4 linked regions of the Arabidopsis thaliana genome follow. The protein of the gene in region 1 interacts with the protein of each later gene in a pairwise test. Each region holds a gene or a part of one and is shown on either strand. Other genes may lie near its edges. The genes, in order: KAN, AT4G39050, AT2G21830 and AT1G01440.

The links.
Region 2: the proteins of KAN (region 1) and AT4G39050 interact in a two-hybrid assay, tested with the Arabidopsis thaliana proteins (one large-scale study listed by BioGRID).
Region 3: the proteins of KAN (region 1) and AT2G21830 interact in a two-hybrid assay, tested with the Arabidopsis thaliana proteins (one large-scale study listed by BioGRID).
Region 4: the proteins of KAN (region 1) and AT1G01440 interact in a two-hybrid assay, tested with the Arabidopsis thaliana proteins (one large-scale study listed by BioGRID).

What each region holds. Positions count from the first base shown.
Region 1 is NC_003076.8:5,406,205-5,413,837, reverse strand, and holds KAN (Homeodomain-like superfamily protein), read left to right. Parts: upstream 1-2,071; 5' UTR 2,072-2,745; coding exon 2,746-3,475; intron 3,476-3,579; coding exon 3,580-3,656; intron 3,657-4,538; coding exon 4,539-4,584; intron 4,585-5,461; coding exon 5,462-5,609; intron 5,610-6,163; coding exon 6,164-6,272; intron 6,273-6,371; coding exon 6,372-6,473; 3' UTR 6,474-6,975; downstream 6,976-7,633. Other genes in the region: AT5G16550 (voltage-dependent L-type calcium channel subunit), read right to left, coding at 7,197-7,354, 7,464-7,633. UniProt on the Arabidopsis thaliana protein: Transcriptional repressor that regulates lateral organ polarity. Promotes lateral organ abaxial identity by repressing the adaxial regulator ASYMMETRIC LEAVES2 (AS2) in abaxial cells. Required for abaxial identity in both leaves and carpels.
Region 2 is NC_003075.7:18,191,331-18,196,379, forward strand, and holds the start of AT4G39050 (Kinesin motor family protein), read left to right. Parts: upstream 1-1,744; 5' UTR 1,745-2,131; coding exon 2,132-2,457; intron 2,458-2,585; coding exon 2,586-2,683; intron 2,684-2,765; coding exon 2,766-2,855; intron 2,856-2,989; coding exon 2,990-3,042; intron 3,043-3,416; coding exon 3,417-3,482; intron 3,483-3,579; coding exon 3,580-3,633; intron 3,634-3,855; coding exon 3,856-3,915; intron 3,916-4,084; coding exon 4,085-4,163; intron 4,164-4,257; coding exon 4,258-4,325; intron 4,326-4,467; coding exon 4,468-4,524; intron 4,525-4,605; coding exon 4,606-4,710; intron 4,711-5,049.
Region 3 is NC_003071.7:9,301,853-9,306,737, forward strand, and holds AT2G21830 (Cysteine/Histidine-rich C1 domain family protein), read left to right. Parts: upstream 1-1,860; 5' UTR 1,861-1,968; coding exon 1,969-3,021; intron 3,022-3,098; coding exon 3,099-3,197; intron 3,198-3,290; coding exon 3,291-3,848; 3' UTR 3,849-4,173; downstream 4,174-4,885. Other genes in the region: AT2G21810 (Cysteine/Histidine-rich C1 domain family protein), read left to right, coding at 402-788; AT2G21820 (seed maturation protein), read right to left, coding at 1,131-1,367.
Region 4 is NC_003070.9:159,095-165,087, forward strand, and holds AT1G01440 (hypothetical protein (DUF3133)), read right to left. Parts: upstream 3,860-5,993; 5' UTR 3,393-3,859; intron 3,187-3,392; 5' UTR 3,126-3,186; coding exon 1,474-3,125; intron 1,385-1,473; coding exon 1,324-1,384; intron 1,209-1,323; coding exon 985-1,208; intron 899-984; coding exon 841-898; 3' UTR 534-840; downstream 1-533. Other genes in the region: AT1G01450 (Protein kinase superfamily protein), read right to left, coding at 5,011-5,993.

The sequences.
Region 1 (7,633 bases):
TTGCTAGGTTTGGAATATAGGAGTTAATGAACTCAATTCCTTGTACCATTAACTAAAGATAAAAGAAATTAAGTGTATCCTAGGAGTTTTAGAAACCTAACTCAAAATTAGGAATGGACCTCATTCAAAAACGTTAGAAGTATAGCTAGGGTTGTTATACTGTTTTTGATTGAAAATGCTTTTTAAATAGATCATAATAGTATCTTGTTTAACTCACATGCAGCAAAACGTCTAAAAACTGCAAGCATACTGTACTTCTTTACTTTCCAATAATTAAAATTTATATCTAATAAGAAAAATATATATTACTGTATAATCAACGAATAAAATCTCACTTATTTAAATTTCCTGATATATAAACATAGTCTTACAATTTATCATATTTTTATTTCAAGGCATTAATGATTTGTCGAGATGTTGTATTGATATGGTCATGTGAGGAGTGAATAGTTTATTTTTTTTCTTAGAAGACAATTTAAAGAAAATTAGAAAAGAGTTATTAAATTGAGAAGGAATATTTGGGAGAATGAAAAGGGAATTAGAAGCAAATATTTAGGTTCTTTAGGGTTCACTTGTTTTTGTTTATTAAGGGAAACAAACAAAATCCACTTTCTGGCTGAGTATTTTCTTAGGTCTAATATATATTTAACTTCACGTATAATCTAAAAGCATGCATGTTACGTTACAATAATTGATCGAATTCTTTATATGACACTTGGTTTATATACGTACGAGGGCACCTTGTATTGTACACACGTATGCATATATGTATGTATTTGAAGAGAAAGATACTTTCTAAGACAATAATTTCCGTACCTTTGGAAGGCAAAACACAGAGTTTATATATTCCAAATTAAAAGTGGGATAAAAAAATATAATAATTCTTTGACAAAAACATACGAATAGTTAAATACTATTCAATTTTGTATATTTTTCATTATTTTTCAGTATGACATATTTCTGTTTCACAGTAGATAAAGTCAACTCCATAATTTTTTTTGTAGAATTATAAACGAACAATGTGAATGTAAAAATGTCGAGTACAAAGAAAACAGAAACACTAGAATGCATACATTATTACATTCGACACAAACAAGTCAAAAATATATATAAATCTGCCTAATTTTATTTCTTTTCAAGTACGTATTTTAAAGCGACATGTATATGACTTCGATTTGGCTCTAATTGATAGACAACACAAAACGGTCAAACAAGTAGCCGGTTGATATTGTAGTCACATCTCTAGGAACTAAATGTCTATACGAGCTATTCATAAACTCAAGAACGTACTGATATTTAATGTATATTTATCTCTTTAGGTATAGTTGAACAATCTACGGTCAGAAACTTGAATTTGTTTGATTCCAAAATCGTATAAGGAATTATTATAATAAGATGTGAATAGAGAGTGAAGTGAGAAGCGAAGAGAGTGGGGGAGAAAATAAAAAAGGAGTCAGAGAGGACACAGTCTCTTTCTCTCTCTCAAGTCTCAACATATGTATCCCGTCGTCTCCGGGGTACCAAAATCAAAGCACTCTCTCTTTTTTTATTTTATTTTTTTTTGGTTATAATGAAACTTTTTATTTATTTTAGAATAGGTCTTGTGTTTGTTTTTTTCTTCTTGTTATTTATTTATTTAATTTAATTTTGGCTTTTGCTTTGACTATAGATTAGATAGGACAGAAGAGAGCGACCCTTTATTCTCTCTCCTCTTGTACTCTTCTCCAACATTTTTAATTATTATTCTTCATGATAATCTGTGAACATTATTATTTTAAAGATCAATTGAGTTTTTGATTTATTACTCAAATTGTTAAGGTTTTAATGGATGATAATCGTATTAATTTTTATTGTTAAAAGTTGTATGCTTTTCATCTATGAAATTGGTCGATTATTAAATACACTTTACATTTGAAAATTTCATCTACTAAATTGATAGAAAACAAGATTTATTTTGCTATTATTCTTCAACTTTATCTATGGAAATCAAAATTTCAGTAGTTTAAACGAATAAACTAAAACATGAAATCAATTAATCTAGCCGTAAAATAATTTATATTATATTGATAGATGGGTTTACTTGTTGAAAGGTGAAAAAGACAAATTGAAATACCATCCCAAAATAAAATAAAAAGCTTCCAATATTTGGAATATAGCGAATGACAATATTACCCTTTCTCAACTATCGTTTTCCAAGATATACTCTCGAGGAACAACATCTCACACATACACATACACATACATGTACATGAACGAACACACATATATCTCTCTCTCTTACCTGTTTTTAATTTTCCTGGATTTAGTTTTATTCCTTTTTTCTCTTCTGCCTTTGCTTCACAACACACATACCTCTCTCTATCTCTCTCTTCCTTCTTTTTCTCTCTCTCTGCGTCTTACTTTGAGCATGTTTGTTTCTTCAAGAAGATCATCACTCAACTTCTCTCTCTTCTTCTAAGCTTCTCTTTAACTTCATCTCTCTCACTTTCTCCTTTCTTTCTGAGATATAGAGAGAGAAAGAGAACAAAAAAAATATCAAATCTTTCAGACACCCTTTTGACTTCTTTGCCTAAAGAATCTCTCTGCTTTCTCTTCTCCTTAGAGAAAATCATTTTAAATTCCTAAGCAAAACCCTCAGGAGAAAAAAAAAACAAAAGAATAGTCATCATCATCATCACCATCATCATCCTTATCATCATCAACAACTTCAGTGGCAGCAATAGCAAGAGAAAGGTTTCTTTAATTATGTCTATGGAAGGTGTTTTTCTAGAGAAAACCAAAACAAACACAACAACTACTCTCCCTGATCTATCTCTCCACATCAGTCTCCCAGATATTCATCAATACCATCACAATGAATCTTCTAAAGAATCTTCAAGAAGATCCTCCCAACTCGAAAACAACAACCGATCGTCCAACTTTGAACTCTCTTTATCTCATCATAACCATCCAACAGCAAGAATCTTCCATTGTCCTGATCGAAGAACCCTTAATCTTCCTCATCAGCAGCATTACAACAACCCTATCATCAATGGTGTTCATCAAAGGGTCGATGAATCCGAGATTAGTAATCTCCACCGTCCAATTAGAGGCATCCCGGTCTATCACAACCGTTCATTCCCTTTCCACCAACAAAACTCTTCATTACCTTCTCTTGGAGGAGGAGACATGGATCAAATCTCAATCTTAAACTCATCTTCCGGCTACAACAACGCTTACCGATCATTACAATCTTCCCCGAGGCTTAAAGGTGTTCCTTTGCATCATCATCATCATCATAATCAGTATGGAGTCGTTGGATCTTCAGATTCGTCTTCTCCTCATCACCATAACCATCATCATCATGGGATGATCAGATCAAGATTCTTGCCTAAGATGCCGACAAAGCGAAGCATGAGAGCTCCAAGGATGCGTTGGACTAGTAGCCTCCACGCGCGGTTTGTTCACGCTGTTGAGCTTCTAGGCGGCCATGAAAGTACACATTTATATCATAATCACATTCTAATGATCATTCCCATTTTTCTTCACTTTATTCTCAAAGTCTTAAATCTTTTATTCTTGTTGTTGTTGTGATTCTAGGAGCAACTCCAAAGTCGGTTCTTGAGCTCATGGATGTAAAAGACTTAACTTTAGCACATGTGAAGAGCCATTTGCAGGTATAATCTATACTCTATTTGAAATTAAATTAGACACAACAAAGAATCAATTTTTATTTGTTAATTTAGGTTTAATCTAGTCGAGTTAGTTCGTTACCAATCAAGATTTTCTATAATTAGGGATATTTCATAGTTTTCATCACCATCATGTCACTCTCTTCTCCTTTGCGTTTTGCACAAAAACAGCTGAATCAAGAAACAAGGTTTTTGTGTACGTATATATCATCAGAGCAATGAATAGAGCTCCAATTCTGATGTGTTACTTTTATTTTCTTGTTTTGTCTTTGCTTTAAGTTTAGTCATATTTTGGAAGAGATGGCACAATTGCCAAGAAAATTGAAGCAGTTGAATGAATTTAAAGAGAGAAAAAGAGAGAGTAGTTATAGCTTTAAGTGACTGAAACCTTTCAGAGAATTATTAAACAATGGAGAATTGAGATGATAGATAGAAGTTATTTTGGATTATAATTCATTTTTTCTTTTTTAAATTAGGAAGAGGGGACAAAAGTAGTCATCATTACTCAATGATAATAATACAATCTTTCTATTACTCAACCTTCTTTCAGACATCAACCTCGTGGTCTTAAAATCATAAATAATTAATTATATATACATCATCAGTTCCAAGACAAACCCAGAAAACCACACATATGTACTACATATATTATTTATTTAATAATATAAAGTTCATATGTGTCTGCATATATCTCTCCAGTTTGTCATCTGTAATTCTGTATCACATTATACAAAAATAAATCTATTTAGTTTATCAGTATCTTTTGTCCGATATTTATTTTGGTTTTTTCCTGTGTCTTTAATTGGATTTATGGTTTATTCTAGTTTTAGAGCTCTCATCATGCCTTTAATTTTTTTTTTTTTGCAGATGTATCGAACTGTTAAGACCACTAACAAGCCTGCTGCTTCATCAGGTACGTGTGATTCCTTTACACACACACACACATATAATGTTATGCATATTCACATTTCTTTAGTATAGCTTTTTTCAGCTTTATATATGCTAAAGAAATGGTACTGGCTTTTAATAAGAAAGATATACAATTCACCAAAAAATAACATAAGACAGATATACAATAAAGCTTAGGATTCTCCACCAGAATTTTATAGAAATGGAGGTCCAATATAATCACTATTATAGCTTTTTTTGACTACAATATTTATAAGAAATTAGTTCTCAATCAGAATTTGAAGCTGTGATTCGATATTTGTATGTATGTAGAGATATAATGACGTGAAATTATTTCTGTTATTTTTACTATTTGATTCTACTATTTCTACTATTCCCTTTCCCCAAAATAATAAAAAACGAGCCCTAAGATATTGGTCAAGCTCAAGGCTTTTATCCTTCCTTTGATTGAACCCTAAAGTTGAGTGGTCAAAGTTCAAAGCAAACCAAACAAACATATATCCCCAATATTGATGTTCTCTAAGAAAAAAAAATCGAGTAAAAGATTAAATTTAAAACGTGTGAAGTGTAAACTCATATCCAAGCAAAGTTCATGAATTAAGAATAAAGAAAAACCACTTGTTTCATATGGATTTTCTTTAACCAATTAAAAGTTTATTTGGCACAATTTTCGAGTCTGTAAAACTATTTTTTGAGACACATATTAGGTTGGTCAACACGAAATGCTGAAATTATTTTTTAAGAAAAACAATTTCTTCACTGCATTGTCTTTTACAAAAAAGCTTACAAGAATCGTTCAGTTTTAAATGAGATTCCTTATAGGGTATAAGTGATTGATTTGAGACAACGAAACTTGATAAAAAGTTAAAATAAAATTTCAGATGGGTCAGGAGAAGAAGAAATGGGCATAAATGGAAACGAAGTTCATCATCAATCATCGACGGATCAAAGGGCACAATCTGATGATACTTCTCTTCATCAAGAAACTGACATTTCTTCCACACAACCTCGTTGGAGTAACTCTTCACGGTACGTTTACGTATATACGTACATGTATTATACACACGATAAGTATATATAAACATTAGGTAAGAATAAGATTGACGAAATTTGAGATAGGGTTTAGGGTTCTCTCACCTAATTGTTCCTACTTCCTACCAAGTAATTCATACGACAATTGTTTGGTTTATCCCACATCTATCCATTTTCTTCTAACAAAAATAGTTTTTAGATGATATTTTAAGTTTGTTTTCGTTCAGTTTAAGGGGAAAAAATTTGAGTGATGGTTTTGGTTACAATGAGATGAAATTGGTTAGGGTTTATGGCTGATGAACTTTAATTATATGTACCAAGTTTTTTTTTTTAATTATAATTTGGTTTGGGTTCTTAAGATTCATCTAGGAAGACTAGGATAAACGAATTTTGCTTCATAAGTATGACATGTAGATTGTGGTCATATAGCAAGTTGCAAAAAAACGCAATTTGTGTGTAGTGATTTTTATTTTATTTTTAGGGCATCTATACATCAATAAATACAATTTGTCCTTAATTTGTTTTCTTTCTTTTCTTAAATCATAAAATAGAGAGACATGGCCATTAAGTAATAACTGCTCAAGCGACATAGATACAATGATCAGAACTTCATCAACATCAATGATCTCTCATTATCAAAGATCCAGCATTCAAAATCAGGTTCTGATAATTCCCATCTAATCATATTTGTATAGATAGATATTGCCTTTCTTAGTGTTTTTTTTGTCCTTTAATCTAATATAAAGTTAAAATTGGCAGGAGCAAAGGTCGAATGATCAAGCAAAGAGGTGTGGAAATCTTAGTTGTGAAAATCCAAGTTTGGAGTTTACATTAGGCAGACCAGATTGGCACGAGAAATGACTTTCTTGATCAATTTGGATTTTTATATATATTGGATTTTTTATTTTTTTGTTTCATCTTTCTCTCTCTATATATACTCAGAAACATGTATGCAGTATATATCTTTGTGACGATGAAATTCTCAGCGTAAAAGAAGGAGAACACGTAGAGAGCCAAGCTGCTCAAGAGTGTTGATTTTTGCACAGAGAGAGAGAATATCACTACCAAAATGAAGAAATTTGGAGGTTCCTCTTCTCAAGTTCCATTGATGATTTGATTATAAAGTGGATGATCAATGTATGAGTTTTTGTTTTTGGGTTTTCGGGTTTTTAGTTTTTTGAGGTTGATCTGGTGGTGTGATCATAAGTTATATAATTGGAAGATCATCAAAATGTGGTGAAAGTTTGGATATTTTTTTGAAAGCCTCTTGGTTGGCTAGAGGGTTTCAAGTTTTTTTTTTTTTTTTTGCAGCCGAAATGTAGAGAGAGGGAGAGATCTGAGTTGAGATTTCATATGGATACTGATCATTATTCTTTCTTAAGTACATAAAACACACAATGTATGCATACATAGATCCAAAAATCCGTAGACATTGATCACAAAATGTTTCAAGTTGCATTTTGAAATATTCTTATCATTCTTTCTCTGCTTCTTCACAACAAACTCCATAGATCATATTTATATCAAGCTTCCATTAACAACCAAAAGTCGGGGTTTATTTACAAACGCGGTAAGGACGGATTCTCAGTTGGTTGATTCGATGTTTACCTCCCGGTCTTGGTGTTGATGACGACTGATAGTGTTACCTGAAATGGCTGATCCCACCACTGAAACCGATTGCTTAGCCAAGCGTAGGCTTCCTCTTGTTCCCAACCACACCGCATAGAAAAACCCAATCCAACCTGATCCAATACCAAATTCATTTCATTCTTCAATACATATAGGAAGTAACTTGGAGTGTCACTCATTACAAGATTCCAAAACAGAATCAGAGCAGAGTATATAACCAACCTGAAGCTATTAAGACAGAAACGACAGCAGAAACTGTAGCGGTAGAGATGACGAATGCAGCAACGGATAAGGCTCCAATGTAAACACCAGTCAAGCAGAGAAAGAAGAGTGCCAAGAAGCCACCAGCAACAGCAAGTGAAATCAGAAGAGAGATTATGATAGCATTGGCT
Region 2 (5,049 bases), on another chromosome or scaffold:
AATTATTGTCGTTGCTGTTATTATAATTGTTAATAATAGTAAGAATTATTATTATTATTTAGGACACGCAAGATTCCACATGATACTGCTTAAGCACTACGTCGAGCTAAAATGAAATACTCGATTTAAATGAACTACCCCATTAGTTACTTGAAGATGAAACGAAACAATTTGGTTTTGGTCTTTTGGATCATATAGTTAAACGTTATGTATCTTACTCAGTTTATTTTAATGAAGTTTGTTGTTTGGTATATCAATTAGCCTTAGATGTCAAATCAAAACGAAACAAAAACATGAAAATTCAATTTGGCGTTAAATCAAAATAATAATTAATATTCCATGGATAATTAATATACACTTAGCAAATTACCGAAGTACCCTTGCTATCTCGTTGTCGTCAATAATCAAAATTACAGTATTAACCCAATTAAGAGCGTTTAGCGTCTACGTGTAAAGCGGTATCAGGAGAAAGGAGCAGCGATCACATGGGTGGCTTAAATCTATATCCTCCGGTTCCTCACCGGCCAATTATTCTCGCGCGTGTCTCCGCTCCTCTCTGATGCGCGTCACTCAAAAAGTTTGAGTCAAACTCCAGTAATATTTTTGATTTATTTTGTATTTTCAAGAATTTCTTAAAAATTGCTGTTACGTAATTTACAATGCAATGTCTCGCGGTAAAGGTAGAGCCGGAACTCAAGTCAGATCAATCTCCGTGTATGATTGTGTTCGCATCCAATGTTAATAATTTCAGGATTTGTATTTTCCAAGTTAAAGGATACTATTGTTAACTAACGTATATGCTGACAAAAAAAATAAAAAAATAACGAATATTATAAATTTATATCAGTCGCATAATGAAATGTGTAATTTCACCCAGACAAAAATATCTCTACAGAACAAAAAAAAAACGTTTGTTATATATGTTTATTCTGTATATTTAAAATGTAGTCTAACGTTTGTTCTATATGTCTACAATGTGTATTTATATTTAAAACATATTCCATCCTTAATTTGCTTTATATTATTGTTACACCATTCATAGTAATGGAAGAAATATCTATTGGCATTCTATACTTTATGATATATATATATATATGAACCAAAGTATTGTATGTCCAACTGGGACATTTTATATGACGGCGGACGAATAAAGCTTAGCAGATATATATGTACGTGCTGGTAACTCCATATTCATTATTTTGGATTTAAGTTGTAACTCCATACACAATACACATTGATGGATTAGCATTGCATTTTTTTTATGGCATTTTATATCAAAAGATTCTCAATCAAAACTTAGATAGATTCCTAAAGCTTGTAATTAAAGCATCAAACATATTTGTTAACCAGTTATTATTTTTGAAATCGAGTAGTGTTTTGTTGATGCTACATATTATTCCATCATAAAAAGAAAATTAATGTGTGTGTAAGTGTGTTTGAAATAAGTCAATATCTTAGTACAGTAATTAACTAATTATACGAAGAAGAACTATAAGGGTAAAAACGGTAATTACAGTATTTGGTCAGCCATAGTTATTCCCGCTCGTCTCTTGAAAAAAATTCAAACCGGTAAACCATTTTGGTCATACACGTTACAGTAACACGGTGGTCTGGTCTTCAATAATAACCACGTCAGCAGCATACAGTAAAAACTACTTTAAATGTTTTTTTTTATTCTCACCCAAGAAAATAATTTATTTTTGTTTTGTCGTTCTCCTTCCTAAATAATTTTTCAACTACCACAATTAATTTAAAAATTAAAAATAGAGTATATTTGGAAAGGCACAAAAAAAAGAAACAAAATTCAAAATCTGAAATTTCTCAGCCTCCTCGTTTCTTCACCCAGAGGAGAGAGAAATCTGAGGAATTCGATCTTCGCTTAAAGAAGACGAAACAATCTCTCTCTCTTTCTCTCTTCAATGGTCTCACCATCTCTGTCTACCATCTCCTAGCCAAAGAAGAAGACGAGAAGAAGAAGAGAGGGTCACAACAATGCTTTATTCTTCTTATGTCTCCAGCCATGTGAGCTCCCACTGACACATTCTCTGCATCTTCGGAAGTTTTGTTTTGGTTTGATTCTTCTCACCGATTCCTGCGACCGAGTTTGACCCTCGAGTTTCGAGGTTAGTGGATGGCTTCATCCTCATCGAGAACTAGAAGCAGTAGACCTCCAAGTCCCGCTTCTTCCACTTCTTCTTCTCATCTCAGCAACCGTCTCATTCCTCGTTCTAACTCTACCTCTGCTTCCTCATTGATTACCTCCGCCGCCGGAATCGCCTCCCGATCTATGACGCCTAGTCGCACCTTCTCCGACTCGGGCCTTATCGGCTCCGGCAGCTTTGGAATTGGATCGCCTGTTCCCTACCCGTCAGAGGAGCTTCTCGGTGACCCTATGGACGATACTATTAGCTCTGAGCGGGATAGTATCTCCGTCACCGTTCGTTTTCGTCCGTTGAGGTATGCTAGATCTGATCTCGCCATGGACCAGATCTATTGCAGAGATTACAGTTTTCATGTAGATGCAATTGGAGTCAATTCTTTATTGGGGTTTGCAAATTCAAGTTTTTATCTTTGTGGGTTTGCAGTGATAGAGAGTATCAAAGAGGAGATGAAGTTGCTTGGTACCCTGATGGTGATACATTGGTTAGGCACGAGTATAACCCACTCACAGCTTACGCATTTGGTATTTGGTTCACCTCTCAATTATTCTGAATGTTTTCTTGTAATCATTGAGTGAATGTTTTCCAAATTTGTTTTGATGCCAGATAAAGTTTTTGGACCACAGGCAACTACTATTGACGTTTATGATGTAGCTGCGAGACCAGTAGTCAAGGCAGCAATGGAAGGTGTTAACGGTAAGTAACATTGCTGCAAAATTCAGCTTTACCAAAATCTGTATCTTTTATATAGAAATATCCTCTAAACCAATTGGTCCGCAAGTAGTATTGCTTGCAACATATTTTCTGACTCAGGGTTGGAATTTTGACAGGAACCGTTTTTGCTTACGGTGTTACTAGCAGTGGAAAGACACATACAATGCATGTAAGGGTTTTAAAAAAGAAGAATCCTTATACGCCTTTCTCTCTAGTTTTTCTTCAAAACACATGTGCTATGAATTGGGATCTCTTCTTCAACTTGGTCCCCCTTTGGTATCTGCTGGTTATTCTGGGTTACTCTAAACATTTACATGGTAGCAAAAGATACCATACAAATACCAACTTGCCATCATTAATTGGTGATGGTTATGTGAGTTGGAAATCCTCGTATGAATGGAATTTGAAGGTCTTCATTTAGATTGGCTGTGCTTATCTTTAGTGAAGTAGCTACGTTGGGTCTTTAGTTCCCGTCCAAACAAGTAGAACCTAAATCTGATGTTCTTTTTGTTCTGCCATTGGTTGCTTTTGCAATATGCATAGGGTGATCAAGAATCTCCTGGGATCATACCGCTAGCAATAAAAGACGTGTTCAGTATCATCCAGGATGTAAGTGGTCTTAACGGGGTTCATGTCTTTTCTCATCTCATCACGACTTTTTTATATGATTTCATGCTCGCTAACTGGCTACATTTTTATATTTCAGACTCCAGGAAGGGAGTTCCTGCTCCGTGTTTCATATCTTGAAATATACAATGAGGTAAGTGGAACTTTTTATCCTTGATATATTTACTTGGTAATCCCTGAAAAGTAGATATTTTTAGATTGGGATATGTTTTCTAGTTCTTCTGCCTTATCTTTGAGAACTAGAATGCTTAAAAATATAGAGAATTGGGTGACTGTTCATGATCTTCTTGGTTTTACATGTGTGCTTCTATGTTTCAGATATCCGCAGTTTATCTGATAACCGTCTTTGTATCAGGTGATAAATGATTTACTGGATCCAACAGGCCAAAACTTACGTGTTAGAGAGGATTCCCAGGTTTGCTTCAACCTCTATAGAATGCTTGGCTTTCTCCCATTTCTCTCTCACACACGCACACACATTGTGCTCTACTAGAATAAATGTGAACAAATTAGCTTAGAATCACATGTGAATTTGATATCATTTGAGAAAAGATATTGATTCGTTTTGCGTTTTGTTTTTCTAGGGCACTTATGTTGAGGGTATCAAGGAAGAAGTTGTTTTGTCTCCTGGCCATGCACTATCATTCATTGCAGCTGGGGAAGGTTATTAGATAATTTAACCCCTGAAACATGTTTTGATTTTGTCAACTCTGTCCTTCCCGCCTCTACTTAACATTGCTGTTGTTTTTAATTGCAGAACATCGTCATGTTGGTTCAAATAATTTCAATTTGTTGAGCAGCAGAAGTCACACTATATTTACACTGGTACGTCTTCATGCTCCAAGCTCCAAGAGCTTGTCATATTGTAATTTGTAGCCTCTTTTCAGTGTCTCGGCATGATGTTTTGCTCTTACAAGGTGTCCTTACAATGTACATGTTTTGAAGTCTAATTTGTATGTGTTTGCAGATGGTTGAAAGTAGTGCTACTGGAGATGAATATGATGGAGTTATCTTTTCTCAACTCGTAAGGGCCTCTTTCTTTTTGTTATTGTATAAGATCAATTAGTTTTGAAAATGGGACCTAACTGTATATTTTCTTGTTTAGAATTTGATTGACTTAGCTGGATCTGAGAGTTCGAAAACTGAAACAACTGGATTGAGGAGGAAGGAGGGTTCATACATCAACAAGAGTCTTCTAACTCTTGGAACTGTAGGTGTCTATTTTTGATTCGAGCTATCTTTCTATTTTTCATCTGTTTCTTTAGACATTTAAGGTTGGCATGTCCATCAGAAGCTTTGTTACTGAATAATGATGAACTTGCTTACAGGAGTAACTCAATTAGTTTCCACATTCCATTGTTGGCATTAGATAATCAGAAAGGAGTATGCAGTTGTGATGGGAATATACTTGGGATTTTCAGTACTTTTTTTTCTTGATGTAGTGCTGCTAGTACTTCTTGATCGATGTTTGATGTTCTGATAAGTAGTCTGTTGCCCTTATTATACTTTATGCCTGTCGGTGGTAGCATCTTCAGTCACTTAAACCTTT
Region 3 (4,885 bases), on another chromosome or scaffold:
TGTTTGAAGTCTTTAATGTGTGTAGTCCTGACTCGTTTTCTAAAGAGTAAAGATAATGATATATTTTCTGGCAAGTGGTTTTGAGTGCTTGACTTGTAGAGTTGCAATTCTGTTTTCTTCTTTTCATTACAATTCTGTTTTCTTCTTTTCTTTTCTTATTGATGATGAAAAGCTACTCATACTCATAATCAACAGGAAAAGCCTTCGCCGTTGTACTTGAAAGTTTTGTATTCTTCTAGCAAAGTTACCATGAGATCAATAGATCAAGAAACCTCTGGAACCAACAACTTGGAAAACAAACTACAGTATGACTTTTACATAATCAATCACGCTCATGAAAACTAAAAACACTTTTTCTCGTTTTGGCTAATTGCTTCAGGTAGGTTAATGATATATGGCATATGCATGTTATGAAACCAGTCCTCATGAGTGCTCTTGATAAATATCCATATTGCAAGATATGTGGAGGAAACATACTTGGTAACCCATGGAAATGTGAGACCTGCCGCTTCGAGACACATCAGTACTGTGTGGAGTTGGGGCGACCATCAAGACATCGATTTCATCAGAACCATCCTTTGACACTGTTGACAAAGTATCCTTCACAGGAAAAGATGAAATGTGACATTTGCAGAGAGAATATATACGATTTCAATCTCTTCTGCCGTATATGTACTTTTGTTATCCACATCAACTGTGCCTTGAAAAGTAAACATGTTCTTGAAGCTTTAAGGCAGAAATTCACTGGAACTTGGAGTTTTTGTTTGGGAAAGCTGTGTCATGTATGACGTGTGAAGAGATATATCATCCTGTGTATTGAGAGCTACCATACTGGTTCTGTCTCAGGATTCAACACATGTTATTTCCTTGTGTTGTTATAAGTTTAGGTGTTTTACTCTTGGTTGGTTTTGTGAAGGTCCTATTTGATCTTGCTTCTCTGTTTTTTCATACACAGATCCTATTGGTTTTTTAAGAGGACACAGTTTGATTTGGTTCATAATAAAGAGTCTGAATGTTAGGTTTCATTGTTTTCTCATAAAAGACTTTTATTGATTAGTTTTCTACTCAAAACATGTTTTTAATATTACATGACTATGACAGGACCGTATCTGAACATATTTTACAGAGACCTAGCCGGTACCGGTAACACCAAGATCCTGCTTCTTGTCGTCTTTACCAGCACCAAAGACAGGTCCGCCAAGACCAGCAGCATCAGAGACCTTGTCTTGAAGCTTGTCAACTTGAATCCCACCTTCGTCTTCCTTTGACCTTATATCAAGCTTCGTCTTGTTCTGTCCTCCTTCCACTGACTCGTACGTTGTCGCCGTTCTTGAATCCATCGGCTCTGCTCCTTGTGCTCCCGACATCGTTGATGATACCGATCCTTCTTAACTCATTTTCCCCTTTTGTCCACAAAACTTATTTATGCCCTCAAGCCATGGTCTTAAAACCTGCCACCTTGCCAAGACGTGGCAGTTCTTCAGAAGTCTAGACCTATCTTGTTGGTCACGTGTCGTAAGTTAGCCAAAAGAAGTCGTCTTTGACCCTTATCATCTGTTGGATTTATGCTTCTTGATATGTTATCGAACATGCTTATGAATAAAGAACTGTCTAGTGAAAGGTACTTCACACTGAGAAGACTCTTCATCAATTTTTAAGTTTCATATTCAATAACAATTTTAAGTATCATTATTACTTCAATTACCATAATGATACCAAAAAAAAAAAAATGGGCTCAATAGAATCCAATTAAGCATGGTCAGTAAACGAAATAAAAAATATTAAATTTTCCAACCACACCACGTTGAGAAACAATTATTGAGCCACTAATTTATTACTCTCTCTCTCTCTGTCGACCTCACAATTAGTTATGCTTTTGGGATTTTGAATCATGAAGGTTCTTTGATCAAGATTACTGTGTTATCTAATGGTACTCTTAGATCAAGATTCCAATCTTGCTTCTTCCCCATGGGAAAACTCGAGCATTTCTCCCACTCATGCCCTTTGACCTCGCCGGAGATTGTAGCTGAAGGCATCTGCAACATTTGCTTCCAAGACCAAGTTGTTGAATACGCATGTAAGCCTTGCAATTTTGATATATGTAAGACTTGCTCCAAGCTGCCGCAAAAGGTGTCACATGGTTTTCACTCAGATCATCCTCTTGAGTTTTCTCTATTCCAATATGATCGAAAACCTGGTTACATTGTCTGCTCTTGTTGTGGGAACATGTCTTCTTGCTCATTCTATGAATGTAAAGAATGTGAGATCTATCTTGATCTCGGTTGTGCACTACTGAAGAACGTTTTCACTGGTTGGGACGTTAGAGAAATGCTTCATTACAGTCATGAACATTTGCTTCGAAGGTGTAAACCAGGACAAGATGCTAGAGGCTCTTGCCTGCTTTGTGAGCTCCCTCTTTCTCCCTCTTCTATATGTTACGGTTGTGTTTACTGTTACTCGTTTCTCCACGAGCGCTGTCTCGATCTTCCGACAGAGATTCGACATCCCGTGCATCTGGAACACCCTCTCAGACGCCTTGATTACATACGAAGTGGTGGTCGAACATTTTGCGGTGCGTGTAGAGAGAAGATTGACAGTGTCCCCTTTGGCTGCCTAGAATGTGGTTTTTACATTCACATGAGGTGTGCAGATTCGTTTTTGCGCTGTCTGATGCATGAATCTCATGAGCATAAATTGTTTTATGTATCTTCGAATGCTAAAGAACATTTTGGAAGAAACAATTGTTGCCAAATATGCTTGGGAGCTGTAGTGAGCTCTCTCGATTCTTACTACCACTGCATCGAATGTGAATTGGAGTTTCATTTCGAATGCCTTGGGATTTCCAAGACCATTTCTAAGAGATCTTGTCACATTCATCCACTTGTTTGTAAAAGAGTACGTGAAGAGGATGATTCTTTGGAGTACTGTGGCGTTTGCGAGACATTGATTCATGCCGGACATCATGTTTATTCGTGCGAAGAATGTGATTTTCTTGGTCACATTGAATGCATTCTACGCGAGGTAATCAATATCGTTTTTGTGTTTTTTTGTTTCTTAATAATGATGCAATGCTGATGATCTATATCTACAAACTACAGAAAGAGCCATCACCATTGTACTTGAAGGATCTGTATTCTTGTGTTGAAGACGTCAAAAGAGCAACAAACCAAGAAGACTATGAAACCAACAAAGTTATGGTATGGCTTTATAATTATCTATCAGTGGAAGAAAAGTATGAACATCATTTTAAGCCAGCCTTTTGTCTCAAACGTGTAAGGTATATGTTGCAGGTTCATGATATCAACCATAATCATGTGGTGACATCGATTGATATGTGTGAGCTTGAAGGCAAAGAACATTGTCACATATGTGAAAAAGAAATACTTGGTAATCCATGGAAATGCGAGACTTGCAACTTTGTGACACATAACTTCTGTGTGGAGCTAGGGAAACCATCAAGACATCGGTTTCATTGGAACCATCTTTTGACACTCATGCCAAAACCAGTTGCTACGGATATGACGAGTTGTAAAAGCTGCAGAGAGGATATAAAAGGGTTCAATCTATTTTGTCGAATATGCAATTTTATTATCCACGTCAGTTGCGCCATGAAAGGTAAACGTTTTCTTGGGATGACAGGACCGAAAGTCGTTGGAACTTGGAGAGGACGTTGTTTGGGAGGCAAGCATAGAATGGTCCAAGTTATGTTCCCGAGGTCATATCAAAAAGTTTGTATTATTTGTCATGAGAGGGTGCTTGGGAAGGCTGTGTCATGTATGGAGTGTGAAACGATTTATCATCTTCGGTGTATTGACCGACATCGTATCAAAGACCGTGATTCTTCGTAGTTAGGTTGTTCCTCCTCTGAAACTAAGTTCTGCAACTTCTTGTTATGTTATATACCTCTAAAATTTTGTCGGTTAGTAAATCATGTTTGTAATATGTTTATTTGCTCTGTTTATTTCTTGTTCTGTTTTCTTTGTTTTTGGCACACTATGTATTTTCAATCCTCTGTTTTGGATTCCATTATCGTTTTTCCAGTTCCAATGGTGTTTTTCTTATGTAATCTTGGTGACATAATACACAAAGTTCAGTGTTTCCATTGGAAAAGCCAGCGGCCCCTGCAGGTGCAGGAGTTGTTATGAATTGTAACATTTGCATGAATGATATAGAAGGGTTCAATCTCTTCTGTCGCCTATGCAATTTTATCACCCATACTATACTAGTCATAGGTCACCAATATATTGTCTGCTCTGGTTGTGGGAATATGTATTCTTGCTCATTTTACGAACGTGAGGTCTATCTTGATCTTGGTTGTGCCTACTGAAGAACATTATCACAAGTTGTTAGAGAAATGCTTCAGTACAGTCATGAACATTTGCTTCGAAGGTGTAGACCAGGACAAGACGCTAGAGGCTCTTGCCTGCTTTGTGAGCTCCCTTTGTCTCCCTCTTATACATGCTACGGTTGTGTTTCCTGTTACTTGTTTCTCCACGAGCGTTGCATTGATCTTCCAACAGAGAGTCAACATCGCGTGCATCCGAAACACCCTCTTAGAGGCCTTGATTACATATGAAGTGGTGGTCGAACATTTTGTGGTGCGTGTAGGGACAAGATTGAAAGTGTCCCGTTTGGTTGTCTAGAATGCGGTTTTTACATTCACATGAGGTGTGCAGATTCTTTATTGCGCAGTCTGATGCAATGAAACGGAAAGTTTCAGGAATATTTCCAACCAACTAACAAACAAGTCTTCCGCTGTTTCATGACAAAGCTCCTTCCCTCGAAAACTCGTCATGGGAGGCAAATTAAGGCTTCTCAGGAATCCTTGCATCCAATTCGAGGCAATTCTACGTTTCTGTAGTACAAAAAGAGAGAATGATTCTTT
Region 4 (5,993 bases), on another chromosome or scaffold:
CAAAGATAGAGACTTGTTCTCTCTCTCTTTTTTCAACTAAAGACAGAGACCTCGCACTTAGATTTAATGGTTGAAACTTGTAACTAAAACTACTTGTGAGTATATAAATTAGTATCTAGTTTATGCTTTACACATCTAATTAGACGAAAAAATATATTTTGTCTTCTGATAACCGTGGTAATTTTCATGCTAATTTTGTTTTAAACGTTCTATCTAGAGAAAAAAAAAAAATCGTTCTATCTAGACGGTAGAATTAGTTCTCGGTGATTTAAAACATAAACTAATCTTTAGACATGAATTAGTCGTTTTAGACAGACTAGATTATCGACTCTGTTTTTTTATATGGAGTAGGGTACACCACGACCACGAGGCCCATTGTGAATAAATTATTCCATGGGCTTTAAATATTTGCTACGTGGACCCATCTTACTTGAAGTTGATTTTGGATCTACCATACCAGTGTGTTTTCTTTCTTGAAAACGATTTAACAAGTACACACAGCCTGGACAGATCTATAAATATATACATTTATCTTTTGTCACAAAATCAAACAAATATTATTTTATTTCCCAACAGGCAACAGGTTATCCACAATAAAAAATGATCAATTTACATAAACCAGATCACAAGATATAAAACCATACGGTTTATCTCTTAGACAAAAAAAAAAAAAGTAAGAGAAAGAATGGAACATTGTAAGAGAACCCCCAAAAAAGAAACTAAACCCAAAAACAGAATAGCAAATAAGTTTTGGGTCAGAATATAAGCAAAGATGTGTTATATATCAATCACAAAGAATAATTTACAAATCAGAGAGGTCAAAACAAAGCTGACGAAGCTTCACGAGACTAATGATCTTGGAACCCTCATGCCAAATCCATGCTTCACCTTGTCAACCCTGATTCAATTTTCAACCATAAAATTTCAGAATCAACTAAATGATTGATGTAAAAATTTGATTACATGGAATTGTGTTGTGCTTACGTTGGAGCTAATCTGCCAAGACTCTTAAGTTCTTCACCAGAGTCTCCATCAAGAACTCTTCCTGCTATATCAATGATGTAAGAACGGTTCTTGCCTCGAGGAAGACCTCTACTTGATAGTAACTCTAGGTCTCTCTCGTGAAGCTCTCTTCCGTTTACAAACACACTCGTGTTTCCTGCACCGCAGTTATCCGGCATTGGTCGACTAAACTCCTCTATAAATGGCTGCATCAACCAACAATTGTTTCCCATTTCCTCATCAAGTACCAATCAATACAAAGAATTATGAAACAGTGTACTGGAATTCAAAGCAATATAGAAGAGATGTGAAAGTTCTTACTGGTATTATACCGAGACAAGGGTTTCCCATCACTCCCCAGAATCCAGCACGGTAATCATACCTGGTCAGAATCATAACATAAAGATGGTTTCTTGAACGACTGATCAATTCTTTTGACGTAGATTTATCAAAACGTAACCCCAAACATACCAGTATTTGCCAGCTTGAACTGGCCCAGCTTGTTTCTCAGCGCTAATAACCAGATCTTCTGGTATCAGATACCCATTCACCCAAACCTCTAGCTGCTCGTTGTTTTGGTCGTTAGAACTGATATTATTTGTGACCTCTGCGAAACTGTGCTCACTACTCTGCTTTCGGTTTCTTGGTCGTCTCCCTTCTTTGCTGGCTTTTGAGATCCTTGAATCTTCAGACTCCTCGGTGTTAGTATAGTACTCATTATAAGAAACATCTGTCTCAGTAGCTACTGATTCTGATTTCAGGGAGTCTTGTTTCGTGTATGATTCTTGCTTATAGTACCCTAACTGCGCCATTCCGTAAGTGATTGCAGCTCGGTTTACATTAGAATACTCAAAGAGCTCAAGAAGATTGGACTTTTCCGGAGGAGGAGGAGGAGGAACCTTCGCGCCTTGGGCTCTGCTGCGAACAGACTTGACGACCTGTTTCCGCGGCTCACTAGAAATGCTTGACCTGTCTTCATCGTTTGAGTGATCACTAGGCGATACAGCATGGACAATTTTCGTTTCCTGGTGTATTCTTGGTTCTTCATCATTGAGTGGATAATCATCTACCACAGGGATTGGTGAGCTTCTATCTTCAACCTCTACAGAAACCCGGTTCGTAGTTTCCCCCAGGGCAGAAGATGAGAAAACAAGCTTCTTATCAACAACTCTGAACGTGATAACCTCAGAACAAGCACCACATTGCATCTTTTGTTGCCTTTCCTGACCAAGAAGCTTCTTCTTAGGCACATATAGCAGCTCAAAGCAACTGTGACAAGCAATAAAAGGCGCACCGCCTGCTAGAGGATGGCAACGACGTGAATCAGTATCAGACACAGCTTGTTGAACATACCCACGAGCAAAAGCACCACCCATTTCAGAATCAATTTCACTAGGCCACCTCGTGTGAACACCACCATGTGGACTAAAGGGTCCAACTTTCTCACCGTGGTGCAAAGCCGGGCTAAATGGGACATCACCATACCTACTTGGCGTACCCGGAAAGAATCTAGGGTCCTGTAACTGTGACTCAAGTATATCAGAGCCAATGTCTACATACTGTCCTTGAGGATAGGGTGGACGAGGCGGCATCTGATTAGGGTAATGACTTGGTCCTTGATAAAAGTTTTGAGGTATCCTATGCACTGGGAATCCATAAGGGTCTCTATAAGCTGGAACATGAGGTTGGTTACTCGCGGTAGGATACATTCCATAAGGAAATGGCTCAGGGTATGGATTGTAATAAGAAGGAGGAGGTCCATGATGGGCATGGAAACCCATTGGTGGCTGATCAACAACAGTAGCATTATTACCTCCACCACGGAGAAGATGATCTTTAATAGAATCAAGCTTTCTCAAAAGCTCGGCTTGTTGTTTATCAGTGTACTGAATTGGGTTGTTTCTGGTGGTTGTGTTCTTAGAAGAAGAAGAATCTGAATCAGTCTCTTCCTCCTTTCTCGAGCTCTTGACGAATCTCTGAGAACCAGGTCGTGAATTCGAATCGTCTAGGCGATTTCTCATCGGGCTAGTAGCGGATTCATTGAGATCCTCCTTAAAGCCTCTGTCTTCATCACTTCTTGAGGAACCAGTATCTGCTCCATAAACGTCACCGCTTGTCCTCATCGGAAAAAAAAAACAAAAATTCTCCGACGAAGACCAGCTTCTAGGGTTTTGCTTGTTTAAACTGCAACAGAAATAATAATCCTTGAATTCAAACAAAATCCGAAATTATCAACAAATTCTCTAATCGAATCTTCTCCAATCCGCGAATAGTAACATGGTAGAGCAAATCTTAAAATTTTCCTAGAGACTAGTTCAAGAGTTTCCATGATTGCACAGCATCCAAAACGGGAAAGACAAGACAGAGAGATATAGGAAAATCAAACGCACCTCGAAGAAGAGTGATTCCGGCGTCAGTATTATGAATATTTTTTGGGCAATTTCTTCGTCTCCGGTGAGAATCAAGCTTTTAGTCTCTTTGACGCAGCCATTTTTTAATATTAAAGGAGTTTTGTGAAAATTTCAGAGGAATTTATTTAAATAATCAAAAGACTTCGAACAATAGCTCTACTTTTCTTGCTTCGTTTTCCCGGGAATCTACCAACTAGGAACAATTAGATCGACAATGGAGTTTAAGAATTTTGACATATCTAGAAACTATGAGTCTTACCAGGTCAAGTTGACCAAGAGATAACGTGACGACCAAAAATAATGCAACAAAATAAAAATAGTAGTAACTAATGAATTGGTTGGATCGATTCGAATTTAACTGCATTTGAAAGGTGAAAGTTAAAGTACCAAATTAGGTCTTTGATATATTTGTGTCTCGCTGCTCCAAAACCAACAATACCTTGAACTACACACACTATTCATCATGGCCATGGTGGGTTTAGTTTATAACGATGAATGTGTACGTATTTTATACATGTATTGTATAATATTATCTTGTCAAAATAGATGGTGTGCCATGTTCCCAGACGTGCTCATAACTTGAATTCTTTTCATCATCATCATCTTTAAAAAGTTTAGAGATGTATTTTAGTTGTTGGAATTGTATTTTATATTAGGGTGACAATGACAAATGTTATAGCTGTAAAGTATTTTTTGTACAAATCAGCTGCTTAGTTTGTTTACTCCACTTGCTTATAATGTTATATTTGACAAATCTGTTGGTATTAAAATCATAATAACGTACTTATCACCAAAAAAAAAAAAGAAATCATAGCTTCATTCATCTAAAACTAGAGTGGGGACTTTTTGGTCATATCACAATCAATGACATAATAAAAGCGTCGGAGGATGGATGTGACGGAGTCGGCGGTGGCGGAGATATTGAAATTGACGAGAGACAGAGCCAAAGCTCCGAACCACGCCATGTCTCTAGTCCCCGGCGGAATCGCTGTTCCCCTTTTTTGTTAAGGTAATTTTCAGGCAGATTAGTCAAGGTTCCTTATTTTTGATGTTTTTATCCACATTCGAAGCCCAAAATTTGATTAGTGTAATTTGATGGTGTTTGATAGATTGTAGAAATAGTGGAGCAGGCCTAGTTTACTTCACTTCAGCGTTGAGCCTCTACAGTCTAGGCACATAATTTTGCCTCATATGATTTGTTTCCTTTAAGATAATATTGTAGCTAGTAGCTACTGAATCAATCAGTCACTAGCCTGAACAATATACGAGCCTAGTAGTATCTGTAGGAAACTTTGAATAAAGAAGAATTTTATCGTTTTCGATAGATATGTAGTGGAGTGTGTGTCACCACATACGAGTTAGTATGTCTTTTGACTTGTACAGCATTTTGAACTTGCTATTATGAACCTATTCTTTTTCCCTGCAGACTAGGAAAGCTCAGAGTCAGAGGCATGTCCAGAGTTTGATCGTCGTATCCTTGGGCTTATCAATATCAGCTGACTCTCAGAGTTTGCTCTCATGCTTTGCCCACCACAAGGGCTTAGTGGCGGATGCCTTGATCGTCCTCTCGGAGTTGTCCCTGAACAGAATCCAAAGGCTAGTGACACAAAACAAAAAAATTAGTACAAGTAACCAAGTTCATATTTGTTAGGGAGCCTATATATATATATATATATTGGCTGATGATAATCTCACCTGGTTTTTGAATTGGTTTCAGGCTAGAAGCTCTTTTCAGAAGATTTGAAACCTGCTTCTTGCTCATACCAACATCATTTGAGGAGCATGACAATCTTCTTTCCTTGGCATATGACAACTGCTCATCTGATCCTGCCCCACCCTCATCCTCGCTACACGAAGCCCATTCACTTCCTGATTCCGATGGTTCCCGGAGATTATCCTTTTCACACGTTTTTGCCCGTTCCACAACCCTATATGCAAACATTTGAAAAGGAACCTGTGAAACTTTGGTTAGCTCTGTAGATTCCCAAGAAAGCTTCTGCAATAGCTTTGTCTCGATCTCGCAGTAATCCACAGTAGGCGCAATGGACGGGTCTTGTTGGCTACTACTGTAACATTCCGGGTTCAAAGCTAGAAACCGTTTGATATACCGGAGAATTCTGCTTATCGATGAGAAAGTTGGACGCTGATTGGGATCAGCATGCCAGCATCGTTTTGTCAGGTTTGTTATGAACTTTGGTGAATTAAATGGAAAAAGCGGTCTCTCCCCGGCCCTAATGTTTCTACTCATCTTATCTCCTTGCAGGTGGCTATCTTCAAATGGTACTTTACCTGTCAGAAGCTCAAAGCTAACCATCCCAAAGCTATACACGTCAGATTTATCACTATACTTAAGGCTTCCTGCAGTTCCACTCTGTTCTTGCTCCTCTAGAACTTCTGGAGAATACCATATGAATGGAAAATTCTCATTCTGACTCGTCAAAGAAGCACTTTTACTAGAGAATCCCTTGACAGAATTCAACCCGAACCCAAAAATCTTCCCAAGCAGATACCCATCTCCGGATTGGTTACTTCTTGGTTTGACAAGAATGTTTGATGGATTCAACTCTCCGTGGTATATTC